Neurospora crassa OR74A: one gene and its partner. The protein of the gene in region 1 interacts with the protein of each later gene in a pairwise test. Links are inferred from orthologs where the notes say so. Each region holds a gene or a part of one and is shown in the gene's direction. Other genes may lie near its edges.

The links.
Region 2: the proteins of NCU08878 (region 1) and NCU04334 interact in a two-hybrid assay, tested with the Saccharomyces cerevisiae proteins (2 studies listed by BioGRID). The link is inferred for Neurospora crassa OR74A from reciprocal best matches to the Saccharomyces cerevisiae genes TEM1 and HSP10.

What each region holds. Positions count from the first base shown.
Region 1 is NC_026505.1:32,106-43,299, reverse strand, and holds NCU08878 (TEM1), read left to right. Parts: upstream 1-5,137; 5' UTR 5,138-5,983; coding exon 5,984-6,754; intron 6,755-6,815; coding exon 6,816-6,890; intron 6,891-6,942; coding exon 6,943-7,041; 3' UTR 7,042-8,231; intron 8,232-8,322; 3' UTR 8,323-8,416; downstream 8,417-11,194. Other genes in the region: NCU10291 (hypothetical protein), read left to right, coding at 13-721; NCU10292 (porphobilinogen deaminase, variant), read left to right, coding at 1,617-2,630; NCU08877 (glycine cleavage system H protein), read right to left, coding at 3,095-3,498, 3,641-3,746; NCU10861 (hypothetical protein), read left to right, coding at 8,894-9,107, 9,797-10,308.
Region 2 is NC_026504.1:3,737,485-3,747,011, forward strand, and holds NCU04334 (chaperonin), read left to right. Parts: upstream 1-3,856; 5' UTR 3,857-4,017; coding exon 4,018-4,020; intron 4,021-4,285; coding exon 4,286-4,513; intron 4,514-4,684; coding exon 4,685-4,743; intron 4,744-4,863; coding exon 4,864-4,888; 3' UTR 4,889-5,286; downstream 5,287-9,527. Other genes in the region: stk-30 (protein kinase), read left to right, coding at 240-294, 460-725, 982-2,290, 2,347-2,990. UniProt on the Saccharomyces cerevisiae protein: Eukaryotic CPN10 homolog which is essential for mitochondrial protein biogenesis, together with CPN60. Binds to CPN60 in the presence of Mg-ATP and suppresses the ATPase activity of the latter.

The sequences.
Region 1 (11,194 bases):
TGTGGGCAACAGTTTCCTCCCTCCGCAAGCTGAAGCACACGATTCCGGCACCAATACGGTTGTTCCCTTGCCGGATCAGCCAGAAGCACATGGTCCGCACATGGATGCCAAGGTTGCTCTGGCCGCCGCCAGGATCAAAGATCACCCCATCGAGTCGGATCCTCGCATCAACTCGCCCAAACCGATCTCGATCCGCAACCACGAATTCACCGAGGACAAGCGACTCGCGGTGCCGAGAAGCGACAGCCCTTTTAAACCCGGCATCCACTTGGACCAGCGTGTCCCGACTCCTCCAGCCTTGGTGCGACCGCATAATCGCCTTGAAGACCGGCAAACCGCTACGCCCAGTCCCAGTGCTGATCGCGAAAATCGCAACCTGGCCGCAGACGTCAGAACCGCGAGTCCGGGTCTAGGATCGAGGCGTGGAGGCCTGATGGGTGGAAGACCTCATTCCCTTCGCCACGATAGTCGTGTTGGTACGCCGAAGCATCTAGAAAATGTCCATGATTTGGCGGCGGATGTGAGAGCGCCAACAGGACCGGTGACTCCGTTGGCGAAGAGCCCGGAACCGAGGAGCCCTCCGCCCAAGAGACTGGCGGCGGCTAGTCCAGCTTTGAGCGCGTCCAGTATCAGCATCGGGACCAGGGCGCATCAATTGTTGGAGCACTTTTTGGAGGGTAATAGGAAGGCGGCGGAGCGGGAAAATGGGAATAAGTCGTGAGCTGGTGGGTTTTTGAAGGAGTGCAAGACCTGAATGGGAACGAGACAGAACGAGAGACGTTGGTGGGGCCGAGCAGGGTGTAAGGCACTGCACTCTGTGCAAAATGGTCACGCTCTTGGATGAGGAATGCTCGGGAAACACCTAGGATAATAACGGGATCGATGATAGAGATGAGTGGGTTGGAAAACAGACAAACGGATACCTCTACTTGCAAACAAAAAGCTCTAATCATTAGTCTTAATCATTAGCGTCAGATTACCTACGAAAAATCCGAGGAATCGTTATCTTTTCCAGTTGAAGTTTCGGGGTGGTTGTGAGCTGGGTCGGGTGGGAGTGACCCAAATGTTGTGAACAAGTGTGACCAGCGTTGTGTGTGAAATGGTTTGATTTGCGTTTTATGCTCACCTACCCTCTACTTTCTAGCCTACCCTCTCGACCTTGCTGGGGTGTGGCCGCCCGTGCCGACCGATGCTGTCCGGCAGTGAGGGCGGAGAAGCCTTTTGTCCCGGTGCCGGGGGCAGCGGACTTGACCCCACCGGCTCCGTCTGACAAAGTGGGTCAGTCCGCGACATCTAAACTTTCCCCTGTCCGAGGTCTTGGCGGCGGGGTGGTTCCCGCTGTCCCCGGCTCCAGCTTGCGCGGTTGCCCCTCTTGTCGCATTCCGAATTCCTGAGACGACTTCCTGGCCTTCCCCAGATTCACGACCGAACGTGTTGCGCCGCCTGACTTGACCAAGCGTTAACTGCAGTGAGTTGTCGCGCAGAGGATTTTCAGATCTTTGTTATCTCACTAGTCCAAACATCTCGTTCAGACAAGAAGATATTCCTCAGGATTGTTTTGCAACCACACTCACTCACCCATCACCTTCACCCTCAACCACCAAATCATCATCACAATGTCCGAACAAAAAGAAACAGTCCACATCGGCACCCGCCGCTCGGCCCTCGCCCTCCGACAAGTCGACCTCGTCATTGCCGCCCTCCAGCCTCACCACCCCAACGTCCACTTTCAAGTGCACGCCCTCGCCACCCTCGGCGACAAGAACCAAACGGCCTCTCTGCCCTCCCTCGGCAAGGGCCTCTGGACCAACGAGCTCGAAGCCAAGCTGTTCAACAAGGAAGTCGACTTTATCGTGCACTGCCTCAAGGACATGCCCACCACCCTGCCCGAGGGCGGTAAAATCGGCGTGGTGACGGAGCGCGAGGATCCGCGGGACGTGGTGGTGATGAAGAAGAAGTGGGCCGAGCAAGGGAAGTACAAGTCTCTGGCTGACCTGCCCGAGGGCGCCATCGTGGGTACTTCGTCGGTGCGCCGCGCGGCCCAGCTGCGCAGACGGTACCCCGGCTTGGTGTTCAAGGACGTACGCGGCAATATCGAGACGAGAATGAGAAAGTGCGACGAGGAGGATTATGACTGCATCATCCTGGCCGCGGCGGGGTTGTTGAGGATGGGCTACGACGAGCGGATTGCGCAGTGGTTGGATTCGACGACGGAAGGGGGAGGCATGTTGCATGCGGTCGGACAGGGCGCGCTGGCCATGGAGATCAGGGAGGGCGATGAGAAGACGCTGGAGATCATCAAGCCCTTGTGTCATGAGAAGACCATGGTGGCGACGTTTGCGGAGCGCGCCGTCATGAGGACCTTGGAGGGCGGGTGCAGTGTGCCGATTGGTGTTGAGACCAAGTGGGTGGGCGAGGATCAGTTGCAGTTGAAGGTGACGGTGGTCAGCTTGGATGGAAAGGAGAGTGTGGATGGGCAGAGCGTCGAGGTAATCAAGACGATTGAGGAAGCCGAGGCCATGGGTCAGAAGCTGGCGGAGGATCTGGCTAAGAGGGGCGCGCAGAAGATTCTGGACTTTGTCAACCAGGGTCGTGCCTCGGGGGGTGCACTCAAGATTGGTGATCTCTGAATGTTTGTTCTCTGATGGTGTTTTGTGTACGATAGAGAAGGATGAAAAGATGGCGCGAGGTTTTTTTTGCGGGCGAACCAAAAGTTGAGAGGTATGCGAGGCGCAACCGTGGGTTTCTACGATCTGCTGAATGTTTTCCATGCATGTACATAATCTTGGTATGATACTCTGATGCGTTCCATTGCATGCATGCTTATCCCGATTTAACTCCAATTCGATGTATGCATAAAACTACCAAACACCGCCCTTCGCCGTGTGATGATATGACAAAATACTTCTTTAGGCGTACTTTGTTGGGCCCCCCATGTCGTTTGTCTAAAAGCAGGTTGAACTGTCCGAAATTGAGTTGATCCCCGTAACCATTTCCCCGGGTTCCGTCATAAATAGCCAATATACACCAAGCGTCATTAATCTTTTTCCCGTCAAGCGGCGCCCCCCATGATTTTGAATCTCTTGCGTTATGTTTAGTGGTCCTCGGCGGCAGTGAACTCCTTGTAGGCCTCCTCGTCCATGAGCTTCTCGAGATCGGCAATGCCCTGGTCGGTAACCTGGACCTTGGCGACCCAACCGCCGCTGGCAGAGTGGTCCTCGGGAACCTTGTTGATGGTCGAAGGGCTCTCCTCGAGGGTCAAGTTGCTAGCAATGACCTTGCAGCTGACGGGGGCGTTGATGTCGGCGGCAGACTTGACGGACTCGACGGCGCCAAGGGCATCGCCAGCGTGGACCTCCTTGCCCTCCTCGGGGAGCTCGACGAAGACGACGTCGCCGAGGGCCTTGGCGGCGTAGGAGCTGATGCCAACGTAACCAGTCTTCTTGTCGTCGGAGAGCTCGATCCACTCGTGCTCGCGGGTGTACTTCCTTAGCTCATCTGTTTGTTGTGGTTGTGTTAGTTAGCATGTTGTTGCGATTGTGCGCGCCATGTGTTGTGGTTGTGTGAATCATTGTCGCAAAGGATGACTCCGCTTATCGGGAAGCGCATCGGCTGATGGAGACGGGAACGGGTGGCTCACTGTTGGCAGTAACAGAGAAGGGACGCGCAATGCGGACGGAGCTCTGGGCGAAAGCAGAAACGACGGAAGGACGAGCAATCCGGAGGCAGCGAGCAATGGAGGCCATTGTGACGGTCGGTGGTTTGGGCGGAGGGGGGGTGGACGGAAGGCGTGTATATCGGCGTCGCTTGGTGGTGTCGCAAGTAGTTGTTAGTGCTCAATCCAACCTATGCACCGGCCACAAGTCAGAAAAAGGCACAGACAGAGACGGGACCCGGGGTACATCCGCGGTACTATCGAATGACGAAAACAAAGTGCCGGCCACCCGACAAACGGCTAGACTCGGGGCCAGCAGCTGTCAAGGCCGGCTTGCCAAGACCACAGAACCGAGCAGCGGGAGATGTCGAATGCAACCCATATTATGTAAGCGCACCAAAAAGCAAACCATAGCCGGGCCATCAAGGTGGAACGGGCCGGATCTGGGGAAAGATCAACTGAAGAAAAACAAAAGCACGTCACCGGGCAACACATGGCAGACCGGACTTGCAAATGGATGGAGTGAGTGTCCACTGTTTTGAGTGCCCACTGCACCCCTTGGCAAGGAGCTGAGGCAGCATGGCACTCGGCGCGGGAGGGTGTGAGCAGTCCGTCGGTTCAATGGGCAATAGGCAAAGACGTTGGAAAGGCGCAAGGGGAGTGATGTGCCATGGCTTGCTCCAACATGCAGCCCGCCATAGGTTGATGCTTCCGATGAGGTTCAGATGCTGCAAGGGCCCGAGTGTGGATGTTCTGTTTACATATTGGAAATTTGTTGTGGACATCCATTGTTTTGTTGGAGTTATCGCCATCTTTCTTGCTCATCAACGGTTCAGTTGCCCGATGTGCACCACACACAACTGAAATAAGCCCCTCTGCCGGTGTCACCTTGCCCTTCTGCCACTCACACTGCATCATCTCAAACATACGTGACTGCTGTGTTGCCTTGATATTGCCGGGTGCCAATCTCCCTTCAGCTGTCAAGGACTTCCATGTTGTTCTGGCGCGGGGTTCATCTTAATCGTGATTGTCATAGCAATATCTCGGGGCCCAATTTGGAAACTCAAATCGTTCGACGTGGGATGCACTGCCCGCCTACCCATCTCCACATGCTCGCTCGGGCTTGTCGTCAACACAGCTGAATGTTTTCTTAGTGTACAGTTTGATGGCAAACGGACAAGGGAGCAGCCGCAAGCGCCGCCGCGCACATGAGGATTGAGATCTCATCTTGACGCCAACGAGAGGACCCCAGGGCAGTCCAGTGTTCGAAAAACAGGCGCCTAGCCCAGCCAAGCCAAGCGCTAGCGGACCCACAATCTGCGATCTTTAAGTGGAGTCTTGGTCTGATCAATTCCCTTCGATTGGAGCTCCTTCCCCTTGGTCCGTGCGTGCCCAGCTAGCTTCATCGTGTGTACCTATCGTCACTCTGCTGCCCGTCAGCGCCGCCAGCCCTGCACACGCAGTTGCGGGAGTGTCTAGCCTCTCTGGAGGGTCGGTACATAGCCATAGGTACGCCAACATCAATCCGACGACTCCTTGCATAGCATCTCGCAGCAGCAAGCATTCAGTCTGAATCCACTTCCATCAATCATTCATATTCCATCTCCATTCCCACTTCACTTCCATCCATCGATCTTCCAACCCCAGCTCGTTGCTGCAGCATCACTACATACACTACATACGACTCCGCCCGCACTTCAGCTGCCATCGGGAATCCATTCGTCGCCGTCCGCAGTCAGCAGCAGTCTCCACAGCCTCGGTGAAACAAACCCACAGGGTGCCCAGCAGGTACATACATACCTACATAGTCGTCGACTTATCGCACGATCCCCGATTGCGTTGCATCTTCCACGGCCGACCCGGCAAACCACAATTGTCTGTCTCCAGGTAGCAAAGCAAGAAACGAGCAACATACAAGCAACCATTTACAAACCACTATCACGCGCCATATACCCATCCTTTTAACCAACGGCCAACTTATCCGACCGCGCCGTCTCAATCACCAAGACCAACCTTTTCCCTCCCCTCGTCCCATCTCGTGCAGTCGCCCCTCCCCCCCGCTTGCCGCCCGAACCCACGAGGAAAGCGTTATACGGGGTTTCACCAAACACCACAAACGGACCACGACAAACCGATTGCTGGATCCCTCCCGTCCGACCCCTTTCCGCTGGTCTTCGTCTCGCCCGCACAGACAACCCAGCATCCCAGGCTGAACCTCTCTGTCTACCTACCCCTCCTTAGGCCTCATCCATTGTCAAGCTGGACTTATCGCCCTTCTTCGCCGGGTCCCCGGACCAGTTCCTCGATAACAACAACCACAACAGCAACATGGACACCGTGGTGATGGATCACGATCAAACCATTAGCCCAAACGAGGCTCAGCTTCCTCACAACAACAACATTCCAGACGACAACATGGGTGGTCTGGAGGATTCACCCCAAATAACACCCGACCAAAACGGCTTCCCAGATCGCCATTACCAACAGCAATTCGATCAGAACCTCAACAGCTCACCACGGTCATATTCCCAACACGACAACTTCGACTCAGACCGATATGCCACGCCACCAGCACCCCAGCCTTCAACGTCACGACCGCCCTCGGGGCTCGACGGCCAGAACCCATCCCAGTCCGCAGAAAACGGCTCGCGGACAACCGCCGGCGGGAGTTCCAGCGAGCAAGCCAACGGGCGCAATCATGTCGTGATCAAGGTCGGCATGGTCGGTGATGCGCAGATTGGCAAGACAAGCTTGATGGTCAAATACGTCGAAGGCAGTTGGGACGAGGACTACATCCAGACTCTGGGCGTCAACTTCATGGAAAAGACCATCAGCATCCGCAACACCGAGATCACCTTCAGCATCTGGGATCTTGGCGGTCAACGCGAGTTCGTCAATATGTTGCCGCTCGTGTGCAACGATGCTGTAGCCATCCTCTTCATGTTCGACTTGACCCGCAAGAGCACGTTGAACAGCATCAAGGAATGGTACCGCCAGGGGCGAGGATTCAACAAGACGGCCATTCCCGTCCTTGTAGGCACAAAGTACGATCACTTTGTGAACCTTTCGCGGGAGGAGCAGGAGGAAATCTCCAACCAGGTAGGATCCGTCATTTGTGCGTATACGGCAAAGTTCCTGCTTGCTGACGTTACTTTTCCAGGCACGGCGATTCGCCAAGGCCATGCGTGCGGCATTGATCTTTAGCAGCACCAGTCACAGCATCAATGTCCAGAAGGTACGTCACACTTTGTTTGCCGCAACTGGTGCATGGTCTGACTGTTTCGCAGATCTTCAAGATCGTACTATCCAAAGCCTTCGATCTAAAATGCACAATTCCTGAAATTAGCAACGTTGGCGAGCCACTTCTCTTGTACCAGTCGGTATAGGTTGATGAGTAAATTCGACGCTGTCAACCGTCTTCGCGACAACTGTGCGAGCGGCCTCCTCCGACGATCTGCAATTTGCATTAATACCCCTGGCTGGTGTCGGAGCGACGGCACATGTTGAGTACCTGTAACGGTCACTCGACAGCGACGTGGGAGACCCAATTAACGGAATACCGAGGCGCGGTCCCCTTTGCATATATTTGCTTCGAAGCCCCTCCCCCCTTTTCCCGTGCCCGAACACCCTCGAGGCAACTCCACTCATCAGGACAATCGCATTTTGTGATTATTTAGTCCGTGGCTTAGCAAATAAAGCACAATGGAGGACGGCAAATGGGCATGGGTCGTGATAAAAACGAGACATAATAGTCTTTGGAGTCCGGTTGTAAGGAACGGCTGGCGCAGGACCGATCATACCAAATTGGGCATCTCAATCCGAAATACGATGGGGAAGGGTATTCTATACTATGAATACGGAGCGCAAGGAATACGTGGGGCGCGTGCCTTTGGCCCTTCAGGCGTGGCATCGTCCCCGGTACAGGTAGAAAGGGACTGGATGTTCATTCTTTGGTAGTATGTGTTTTAATTCCCTGTTGGCAGTCAACATATCGGTATTTTCCTGCACATTCTTTGCCTTCTTCTTGCTCTCCAAGCCGATGGCACGAAACACTACCCGCCTCTCCCCGCAGACGTTCCGAGACATCTATCATTTTTTTTCAACGTGTCGCCTCAAAACTGACACCATGTATCTTCCGGCGTATGGAGTGCTCAGTCGGTCTACCATAGAACCAGCCACTTGACCAGAAACAAATGGCCACGGAGGCTGTATATGCAAAACATCATATATCCGTTACCAGAATCATCTGCTGAATAAAGTGCCACTGGGGTTGGGACAACTCATAAAGGTGAGCTTCCTCCTCTGCAAGAAGGAAGAGCACGTAGGCTGCGAACCGAAACGACGTACACTACAAGGTTCTGTCCTCACAAGATCGGTTTCCCGAAACCTGTTGTTCTTCCCAATGTGGTTCTCGTAATCCCGCTTGCGGACGTCGCAGTAGATAACGGAACAGGCATACGCAAACCCCGAGAACCGTACTCGAACCTCATCATAGACACCAGAGGCTTACCAGACATTCCATCCTCGTCCTTGCGGCTGATACATCACACCCGAGGACAATGTAAGGTTGTCAAAAGTTCGTCCCTCTGCGCCCTGCTCGTGATTCGTTACCTCGTGCCCGGCCAACTCAGACGCCGTGCAATCGCTGACCAAGGATAGCTGCTCAGGTCAAACCCTTCATTGACTCTTGGGACTCAGGTTCGGCGCACGCGTGCCACATCAACAAGCATGATGCTTAACCTGTCACGTCATGGCGATCCATCCATCGGCCTTGAGCCAACTCCAGACACCCAACTACCATGCTCTATTTCCTCACCGAGAACATCCACTCCGCTGGCTTATCGAGATCATCCAATGGTTTCGATCACTGTGGACTACATCCGGAGAATCTGCGCTTGGGAAGCAGTTTTTTTCCCCTCCACCCACAAAGGGTGAAACAACGACGACGTGACCAAGGGTTCCGTTGTCTGTGGTTGGGGAGGCACCGCAACTCGAAGACGTTGGACAAACAGAGGGACTTTGACACTGCTTGGCTAACGAAGCTCTTTGAGCGGCCTTTCCTTCCGAGATGATGAATCCCAAGCTCGTAATCAGAGACAGAAAACCGATGGATGAGGTTAAAAGCATTTACGATCACATCATCGCATCCATCTGAGACATCCCTTCTTCCCAAACTACGGCCATTTTGATCATCAAAGCTGCAGAAAGACCCAAAACCGACAGCAACACCGAAGCATTATGAAGTCCTTCATCGCCTTCTGCTCTGCAGCCTGCTTCTTTTGCCTAGCGCTCGGCCAGAGCACCGCAGGATCGGGCACGACGTTCTGGCAAGCCGCGGTGCCGTCGAGCACCGCTCCAAGCACTTGGACTCCGAGCACGCCGGCTCCTCCTGGCCAGGCGCTGTGCGGGCAAGGGTTTACTTATTGCGGTTATATCTTGAGGGATCATCAAAGTACGTCTTCAACCCGATACAACTTTGTTTTCAATCCACTTTCCGTTCGCTCTCTTTTCTTCTTCTTCTTCCGACTTTCCTTACTATCTTCCTCTCCTCTAAAATCTCTATTTACCCGCTTCTTAATTCTTCTTTATAGTTCCTTTACCCTATCTTTTACTTATCTTTATCCTTTCTACGCCCTCTTTTTACCCTCTCTTTACCCTTTTATTTCCCTTATTTACCTTCTCTTTACCTTCTCTTTACCTTCTCTTCACCTTCTCTTCACCCTCTCTTCACCCTCTCTTCGCCCTTTTATTTTCCTTATTTACCTTCTCTTTACCTTCCCTTTACCTTCTCTTTACCTTCTCTTTACCTTCTCTTTACCTTCTCTTCACCTTCTCTTCACCTTCTCTTCGCCCTTTCTTTACCATTTCGTTATCCTCTTTTTATAAACCAATTACCCTATCTTCACCTTCCCTTTATATTTTTTTTCTATATTTTCGTCTTTAATTTTTTTTTAACTTTTCTTCCTTTTTTTCCTACCAGGCCGTCGCCGCATCTCATCTTCGGACAACTACTACAGCAGCCAAGAACTTTCTCTACCCTACTCCCTCCCACTTACACTTCTTTTCCCTTCCTTTCAGCTATCAACGTCCAATTTAACAATTCACACTCCAACCCCAACTAACATCTCCTCCCCTTCTTAGACTTCAAAGAAGAAGATGTAGTCAAAGCCTACTGCGCCGCCTCCAGGAGTAACTGCGCCAACGGCAAAACCAAGACCGACCCTATCCAAGCCCTCTACGTCTGCCTCCCCGCCAACGCCAACCCAAAGGAAAAGGAAAAGGCAAAAGACTCCGCCATGTCGCCGAACCCGCACTTCGACGACGCACCCACTCCCGTACTGTCATCCGGCAAGTCCATCTCGGGGCTCTCCCGGTTCTTCAGCATCCTCTCTTCGCGCACGCATATGAATATGAACCATGCCGTTCATGAGAACATGGATCAAGATAGCACCACCGGAAAGATGATGCAAGCGAGACAGGCGCCAGCGTCGTCGTCGTCGTCGTCGTCAAACACGACGAATGCAGGGAATGATGGTGGTAGTTGCAATACGCTGGCTACGTCGGGGAATAGGATTGAGTTGTTGTGCGCCTGTAGTGGCAACTGTCTGAATCCGGTGTCGGATCATATTGGGAGGTGTGACCAGTCTTGTTAGTAATTGGATTCCAAGTGTCTTCGGGAGGTGGATGGGGTGGGCGGTAATGGTTAATGCGGAGGTGGGCGAGTAGGGAAAAAAAAATCACGGGAAGTAAAAATGGTATGTTTTCCTTATCAATCCAAGGTCTTTCTTGTCTAGTTGTCTCATTATGAGGCAGCTGTTTATAGACTAGTCAATCGAACTGTTATTTCATGCTTCGGTTCATCAGTTTTGGATAACGCCAGTTCGACGGTATTAGGAAAGTATTAACAATCTAATTGGGAGCGAGAAGGATCATATTAGGAGAGGCTTCATGCGATCTGAAAGGCCCTTATTGTTATGCTACGTAGTGTAGCTACCGATATACCGAGCAGCTGCCAATCCATAGCCATAGCTCCGAGCTTTTGCAATGCGCACGTTCTTTTTGTCTGGATGGTCTACCCATGAGTCTCATCCAATGTCCACGCCGTGGTAGTGGCATCTGCACGAGACAAGCCGACCGTCATCACGTATATCACCCGGATTTGAAATCTTTCCGTCCAGTAAGACAACGTCAGCAAGCCAAATCGGATTACCAAGAAACGGTCACGTCCAGTATCACCAACTTCACACTTTTGTTATAGCACCTAGACACTCACGCTTCTCTCCTGTAGTAACCCTTTCCCGCGTGCACGCATGACGCAAGGCCGTGTTATATGTTCCAACTTCAAGCATTATCTCATACAGATAACTTGGTTCCAAGAGGATCAAGCAAGAGCCATGAGGCATCGCTATACATCATTTGATAAGCGTTATTCATCTTGGGTCAGTTGTTATATACACTGGAATAGTCATGGCATCATCTGTCATCTTCACAACCGCGGCAAAAGACAAGTAGGCTTCAACCCCTACAACCTGCGGCCAT
Region 2 (9,527 bases), on another chromosome or scaffold:
TGGTCTTGTCTTGCATCTTCTGTCGCTCTGTCACCTGTCTGGCCCTTGCATCTTGCATCACACGGTCTTTTATCCCATCTTTTTTATCTCTGTTTTCCAGGGCGGGCCAGACACCAGACGTTATTCGGATTCCTGCCAGGATTTTACAAGTTTTATTAGTTTGCGGAGACGGGCGCAAATTCGAACCAAGAAATCAAAGTCACCCAACAAAAACAACAAAACACCTAAAAAAAAAAAAGATGGCGACCGCTGAGAAAGAGTCAGAGCAGCGTCAACCGGACGAACAGTTCCAAGGTAAGGAGAAAGGAAACAACGACGAAGAATTGGAAAAGAAAAAAACACGAATAAAAAATCAACGGCAACCCCTCATCTCTGATCCCTACTACGCCAATCCTCGGGGACTAGAACGAGCAAGCATTGGATTGAAGCAATTCGCTGACTTGTAGTCTACTCCAACAGCTGTCGAGCCGCAATCGGTCAAAGTCACTCCCGCTGAACCATCCAAAACCGAGCCTGCTGTCCGCTTCAAGTCAACTGTCGAAGAGATCACGCCAGAGGGCACCACATCGACACCAACCATTGCACCAGACGTCACCCTCGGCGAACCGGGTGAGGTCACCCCCGAGCAGCTTCGTGATATCGCCGAGAGGTTGAAGGCCTGTCCGCTGCAGGAGCGAAGGATAAGCCTTTTCCAGTACGAGGCATTCTCGCTTCCCGCTTCAAGGGTAAGCCCATCCTAATTTCACGTGAGGGGCTACGCTTCTTGCTTCCTTCCTTTGTTCATCTCCCAAGTTTTGCTTTTGCCTTGGTCCGTCGCTTCCGGGGGGGGCTTGTGCAACCAAGATCAGCTCGGTGGCTTTTGCTGGCTTTTTCCATGTCTCTTGTCTGATTGCACACCATATATCCATGCATGCATAGTCACCATTCTTCGCGTCTGCGTCTTTACCCCTTGGGCGAGGACTAATACTTTGCTATCTCCAGACACCTTCCCACGAAGATGATTCAAGAGCTCCCAGTCGCGAACATACACGGAGCTCGGCAGGTCGCAACTCACCGCTTCTTACTCCGCACGTCAGGGGCCACGAAATGCATACACCTCCTCTCACGCCGGCTGGAACCGACAACGTCGACCGAGAACTTCGCCGCGAGAGCGCTCTGGCGCAAGAAAGGCGGAGTGCCAACCTCATCACTCCTCAAGATTCTTCCCACGAACCGACATCACCTACCTCTCTCCGCAATGTCCAGCTGCCTACACCCGACGAACAGCTGCGGAGCTCTTCCAGGCCGACTTCGATAGATGGCCGAGATCGTCCCCAGATCACTATTGGTGAACATCGCAGAGGGTTGTTTTCCGTTGGATCCGGCGGCAGCAGTTCCCCCAGTAGATCTCAGCCTGCGTCTCGTGAATCCAGTCCCTCCCGAGCGTTGGCCGCGTCACAGTTCTACACCCGCCAACTACCACCTCCCGGCGATGCCAACGATCCGTACTCGGCAAGCAAACGACCTGCACAAAAAGGCATTGAGCCTCGCTTCATCTTCTCCAGGAAAAAGAACTCGTCCTCTTTGAGTCTGGTATCCAAAAGCGACAAACGCTCCAAGAAGGATCGCCATGACAACGACGACGAGGCCACAATCCCCAGCAGAAATAGCTCAATGGCGGACCTGAAGAGGTTCTTCAAGCTGGGACCCCACAAGAACAAGAGACCGGCATCTCCCGCTGCTTCTGTAAAGTCTACGCCCAAGACACCGGGAGGCAAGTCCGCCCAGATTCCGTTCGGTGACGATCACGGTCTCTCTTCTAAATACGGGAAGCTTGGCAAGGTGTTGGGTGCCGGAGCGGGAGGTTCGGTGAGACTCATGAAGCGCAGCGAAGACGGTGTGGTCTTTGCCGTTAAGGAGTTCCGCCCTCGCCACTCGTACGAAACCGAGCGCGAATATGTCAAGAAGCTTACGGCCGAGTATTGCATGGGATCTTCTTTGCACCATGGCAACATCATTGAAACCCTAGACATTGTCCAGGAGAAGGGCAAGTGGTATGAGGTGATGGAGTACGCTCCGTATGACCTGTTCGCCATTGTCATGACAGGAAAGATGTCTCGAGAAGAGGTCAGCTGCTGCTTCCTTCAGATCTTGAGTGGCGTAACATACCTTCACAGCATGGGCCTCGCGCATCGGGATCTGAAGCTTGACAACGTTGTGGTTAGCGAGCATGGGATTATGAAGATTATCGATTTTGGTAGTGCTCATGTTTTCCGGTATCCGTTTGAGACTGGTATTGTACATGCCTCAGGTATGTAAACACTTGGCTGAGAAGATGCTGGTTGAAGGGTTGCTAACCGATCAAAGGCATTGTTGGATCCGACCCATATCTTGCCCCCGAAGTGTACGACGAAAAGAAGTACGATCCCGAAGCCGTTGATATCTGGTCCTTGGCCATCATCTACTGCTGCATGACACTCCGGCGATTCCCGTGGAAGGTTCCTCGATTGACCGACAACTCGTTCAAGCTATTCGCTGCAGAACCTTCGTTCGGACATGACCCAAAGAAACTGTTGCTTCCACCTTCAGCCTCCACGTCGGCGCTTAGCGATGTTCCATACAGAGACTACGACCCTCAGAGCGTCAGGGCTAGCAGCGACAAGATCGACAAGGTTCAGGATGACAAGAAGACGACTTCCGATCACAAGCCGACAACCAGCGTACAAGGAGAAGCTGGCAGCACTGGAGAGAAGAAGGAGGTTATCCGTGGTCCTTGGAGAATCCTCAGGCTTCTCCCGAGGGAAAGCAGACACGTCATCGGCAGGATGCTCGATCTGGATCCCAAGACACGAGCCAAGATGACGGAAATTCTTGACGATCCATGGGTGGCGAACACCGTCATCTGCCGGCAGATCGGCCCCGGCAACGTGGCACATGCGGACGATCACGTACATACTCTCGAACCCCCATCAGCACCTGCAGGCACCAAAGATGAAAAGGCCAAACGCTAGAAGTGGAGCCTTCGCGCCAGTAGACATCCTCAAATACAGGACGGCTTCTTGGGGGCACAGGATGCCACCAACATTTGGGTTAGGAACAAGAAGGGTTATCTGATGGGACTTGTGGGGGATAACTTGGGTTTAGTATTGAAAAGACCGAACATACGTTTTTAGTGCAGTATATGGGTATTGTTACCATTTTCCTCTCAGTCGGTGTCTGTTTCCTTGCGAGGCAGCGGTTTTTCGTCATTTTCTTGGGCGTTTTTGGGACTTGGGAAGACAGCGCTGCGATTGGGTTTGGGTGTCGATGCAAAGATTCAGTATAGGGGGGCTGGGTTCCAGGCATACAGCGTTCATCTTTTTGATTATGCTACTCTCTGGTAAAAGATAGAAGGTGGTATGGCTAGGCTAGACATATTGTGGGAGACGGGCATTAAACACTGTTGAGTGTACAAAGGTCGCTCGCTTTATAATTAGAAAGTGCAGTTATTGATCGAGTGAGAAGTGGTAAAATCTAGACAGACAGCTGCCCGCCCGTGAGATATGTGACGTTGCTAATGGTGATGGACTTTTCAAGACCGTTCTCAATGAGATGGAAGTTGTAAGTCCAGATTACCCTTTATATAGATACCTATAGATGTAGAGGAGACCTTATCTGTGTTCTGTCATGGTAACCGGAGCAACGGACGGAGCCGCTTCGCAGGACGATCCACCGTTCCCCGGCCAAGCCGGGCGTGTTACCCCAGCTTCGCACAGCCAATCAGAAGCAGGTAGGCTGCCCGTTTAGGCGGGATTGCCGGTGACGTACCGACATCGGTAGGGATAAACAGCAAGTCCGGGCCCATTAAAAAATGGAGCGGCATCTTCTAGATGCGCATCGAAGCTCGTGCAAGGGTAATCAAAAGTCGCGATCCCGCCGACCTGAATACCGAAGCTCTTTCCCCCTCAGTCTCCTCAGATCCGCCGTACTCGTCCATCCTCACGCCCAAGCTCGCCAGTCGAATCCCTCGTTGCCGTTCACCGTTTCAATCCCGTCAAAATGGTGAGCACACACCTCCCGTCCGAGACATCCAATCGCACTCCGCCGCCGGGGACAAGGAAGCGCCGGAAAGAGGGAGCTACATACTGTGGCAGCATTGCGTAGCTATCGGAAGCCTAGCAATTGCGCTGTAGAACCTCTGGCTAGCACCGGCCCAACTGAACATTCGGCGGCAAGCACCACGACAAGTGCAATTGGCGCCGAACATGCAAGACGATATCATGAAACCAAACTGTCGACTAACGCGTTATTGTTGTCGTCACCGCAGGCCACTACCGTCCGCTCCGTCAAGTCCCTCATCCCCCTCCTTGACCGCGTCCTCGTCCAGCGCGTCAAGGCCGAGGCCAAGACTGCCTCCGGCATCTTCCTTCCCGAGTCCTCCGTTAAGGACCTCAACGAGGCCAAGGTTCTCGCTGTTGGCCCCGGTGCCCTCGACAAGGACGGCAAGCGTCTCCCCATGGGTGTCAACGCTGGCGACCGCGTTCTTATCCCTCAGGTACGTTAGAGGGCCACCAATGCGCTACACACAATGCCGGTGCAGAGCAGACGGGCGGTTACAGATTAAGGTTATCTGTCCGTAACACCCGGATGCAACGCATGCATGCATGGGCTGTTGTATAAAGAGGAAAGAAGAGAGGAATATGGATACTAACGCGCTCTTTGACAGTACGGCGGTTCCCCTGTCAAGGTTGGCGAGGAGGAGTACACCCTCTTCCGCGATAGCGAGTAAGTTACACCACACACCACAGATTCTGTCCCTGATTGGAGGGGGGAGGGAAACTATTCCCGGCCGGCCTATGCAAACATACAGGAAGAGCCGGTTACTGACATATGTCTCTTCGATAGGATCCTTGCCAAGATCGCCGAGTAAACCTCGTTGAGCCAGCATAAAACCCAAAAAGCAAAATATAAAGGATACCCTCTCATGATTCTTATGACATTATCAAAAGTGTACCAATATGTAATGTACCAATAGAAACCAGCATTGAACAACAGCTAAACGGACAGGTTGGCATACTTGACACGAAAACGTGGGCATGAGGTGGTGGTGCACGGCATTTATCGCTTGATCATGGTTTGGTTATTGAAAATGACACCTCAACTCACCTCATTCTTGTGACAGTTAACTTGAAGCGAGAGGAAAGATATCGGGATGTCAGTTGTCCTCAATCAACTCCTCACATCACAGTTCGTCCGAATTTCCGGCTCAGAATACGATAGCTTCACCCGATCTCTAGTTTCAGATCAAACAGTGTTCCTCACTCCTCTGGTCTTGGTCCTCGGTTTCCGTCTCATAATCCTTGGTGCTGCCGGTTTGGTGGGGTTCAGACCTGAAAAACTAGACGAGACGAGACGAGATGTGGCTGATACATACTTCTACTGTTATCCATGGAACAACGAGCAAGCGAGCTGTCGTGGGTTGATCAAGCAGAAATATCAGTTAACACGAGCGTCTCCTGTCCCGTACATCTGTCTCGTTCAATTCGTGCTTGACAACATCAGACAAGCAAAGAGAAGGGATATACAAAGACAGCGTCAGTGTAGCACGTTATCGCAAACGGGCAGGGCCGGTGAGCGCTGCGCCGGCGGTAGGCGTGATTTGGTTCCTGATCTTACCCCAGTGGAATCCGAATGACAAGGGACGGGAGGAGAAAGTCGAAGAGTGAGCCAAAACCAACACGGAACCAACAGCAACATAGGAAAATCAACAAAGGCACCACTTCAGCAGCAAGCAGTTAGTTAGTCACACACTGTTGTGGTGTGGTATGGAGCGCCCAGACTGCCATTCACTGGCATTGGGCCTGCCCGAATTGCTCGGTCACATGTGGGCCATTAGGGCGCCACCACTATATATTTTAGCCCTCCACAGTTCTTTTCCTTTCTCGTTCTTAGCTTAGCACAATTAGTCTCAGTCAGACCCACTAACCTCCAAAACCACCCCACCCCACCCGTTTCTGCAGTAGCAGGTCTAAGCCAATTTTGAATATTTCGGCCGTTAACCGCTATAGGGCCCAACTATTGCAATTAAATTCTGCTCTAATTAGAATTAAAATATACCTTAATTCTAATTATTTACTCTTATTAGAACGAAACCCCTAAAATCGCAATACGTAATACATCCGTTTTCGTTCTCTACGACTCTAATTAGAGTAAAACCCCTAAAGTTGCAATATGTAATTTATCCGTTTTTGTTTATTATAACTCCGATTAGAGTAATATATATAGACCTACGACGTTTAATTTACTTAATATAATTTACTATTCGTTCTAGGAAACGGCCGTTCTAACTTTACCTAATAACCCTTCTACGCTTGTATCTAATTCGCCCTTCCTTTCGTTTAAATTTAGTATTTTCCCGAATATTCTAATTATAGTAATATATTTGATTCGTACGTATTTAAACCCTAGGGCTTTAATTCCAACTCCTTACTATAGCCCCCCAACCTCCCCGAACCCAATCGAATATAGCTTACTACTATAAAATTAGAGTAATTTAGGCGTTATTAATTAAAATTAATACTTCGCTCGTTTTATTTAAGAGTATTAGGTATATTTATATCCTAGGGGGATATTAAAACCCTTTATTCGTAGTTAAATTAAAATAATTTAAAGTAATAACCGGCTATCGAAATTCTATATTAAGTAACTTATTAATACGCTATATAATAATTATATATATAAAATTCTCTATTATAGTAATATTATAATATATTTTAATAATAAGGGTAATTTATATAATATAAAGAACTTCTATTAGGAATTAATATCTCTCTCTAAATATATCGACCTATTTTTATTTTTTACGAAGTTTAGTACCTCTTCTACTCTATAGGGGGACTAGCTATATAATATCGCGGATCTATACGATATACAATAAATTACATCGGCTATTAAGCAATATATTAATAGCCTACCTAAATATACGTTTAAATTATATTCGCTTCTTATAAGTTTAATACAATATACTTACACCTATAAAAAAACGTAGGGATTATAAATTTATTATAGCGACTATATTTCGCCTATAATATATATAATCTTAATTATTATTATATATATCGTCGCCCCTAGTAAATCCGATTTCTTTTTGCAAATTATAGGTTTATATTTGCGTACTAACAGCGTTGCTAAGTATATCCAAAATACTTTATCTATTTTTAGTATTTATATATTTTATATTAAAATTATAATAATAATTAAAACTCTTACAATTTCTATAATAGTTAGTACCGTCGATTATTTGTTTTATAATTTATATTAACGCTTTTAGGCTAACTTTAAACGTATTATTTCTAACCCTACTCTTATTATTATATATAATAACTATAACTATTTAAATATAATTTAGAATTTAGGTACTAGTTGATAGGATATAATACGTAACTTTACAATTTATTTATTAATAAATAATTTTAATATTTAAGGCCTATTCCGATTTAACTAATTTCGGTTTACTATTCCCTTCCGACTGTATTGGGTTATCCCGGCTTTCGTACAAACGCTACAATTATTTCGCCCTACTATAAACTATTTAATTATAAAGAAATTAAAGTCCCTCTTTCCGTTTATCGGCGAATAAGGTTTTTTTCCCGCTTATTGCTTCCTTAAAGTTAAATAATATTATATACTTAAAAGCTATATTCTTTAAACGCTTGCTATTAACGAAAACGAAGGTGAATTCGCCGGTATCTATTATTTGTACGATAAATTATTTTTTAATTTATTTAGTATAAATTAGATGTAGTTTAGCGATAGGCTTTTCTTTATTTACGGTAATTAAAAGACGATATTATATATTTGTAAGATTATATTAGTATAGTTAGAGGTATAGAGTATATATAATTATAAGTAGTAGATAATCTTTATCCCTATATTCTTCTATATTAAAATAAATTTCGTTAATTTAATTTTTTAATACTTTTAGCCTCTTATAGAGTAAGATACTTACGGCCTTAAGAGGGCTAAAAAAGTAAAATAATTTAAAACTAAATTCTATTATAAATCGAGACTCCTTTATAATATATTTCATTTTAGAATTCTTATTTTTTTAATATAGAATCTCATTAATAATAGGTTCCTAGATCCTACTACACTTAGTTAGGATAGTATCGAAGCTATTATCGCGGCTGCCTTTTAAGTTAATAGAATTACTTATTTATCTATATAATTTAATTATATTTATAATAAAGTTTTTACCTTATAGGGATATACTAATAAATACCCGGGGGGTAATAATAATTATATTAATATACGATTTTGTAGCGTTTATTAATACTTGTATATTATTCGGCTATTATTTATTCTTACTTATATTATCCAATTTAGCAATTATAGGATACTTTAGTAGATCGTTAATTACTTGCTACTTTTCTTCTATAGTAGAAAGAGTACTAATTATAGGCCTGAGATACTCTATTTCTCGTAGCTCCTTCGACCCGAAATTACTAATTTAGAATTATCTAATACTATTTTAAGGTTTAAATTAGTACAATATACTATAACTAGTAACTAGTAGAAAGAGATCGATTTAATAATAGAGTATATTAATTATTCGTTTACCCTAAATATTAAATACTATAAGAATTCAATATACAATATTAAATTAATTTTTATAGAACTATTAACTATCGGGCCTCTTATTATAACTATTCGTAGGGGGGTTAAATTAAAATTCGGGCGACCTAGTAGTAGTAGATATACTAATTTATTAGCTGATATTAATATTATTAATTATATATATACGATATATAGGAATAGGTTTATATCGCAATACTATAGACCCTCAAACCCAAATGATTTTAATACGCTAGATTTATAGTATAATAGTTTATTTAAATTATTTTCGGGTGCCCTTTAATAATTTAATTTTAAGGAAGTTCGGCTAGAAAAGGGGGAAGACTACGAATATTTTAGTCTATTTAATTACGAAGATGACGATTTTATTATTATTAATAGTTGGGGTAATAGAGTATTTGAAACGTTCGATTTAAGGGACGAAAGTGATAGCGGGTAAATTTAAATAATAATTATATTAAACTCTATTAGGATTAGTATTTTATAGTAGTTTATTTAATTAGTAGCCTATAATATAAAGTTTCTATACAGCTTTACTATTACGTCCTAAAAGTATTTAGTAACCTTCGCTCTAATTAGAGTCGATAGGTAAAGTTATATAATTGGACCTATATTTTATAATATTTGTGTACTATTAATCCTTAATATAATTGCTATTTAAAGTATTACTTATATACTAAGTATACGGATAGCTATTGTACCCTATTATATATAATTAACCTTACAATTTATAGGCTATATCCGAATTATTAGGATTTTTAAATCGGTAGCCTACCTATAACTTTCGCTCTAATTCGAATTATAAAGCTATACTATAAATAGCTAATATAGTTACTATTTAATTAAATTTCCTAAATTACCCTTTCCTAACCTTTACTTTAATTAGAATTTATTTTGTACAATTAATAAATACTCTAATTAAACTCTATTTTATA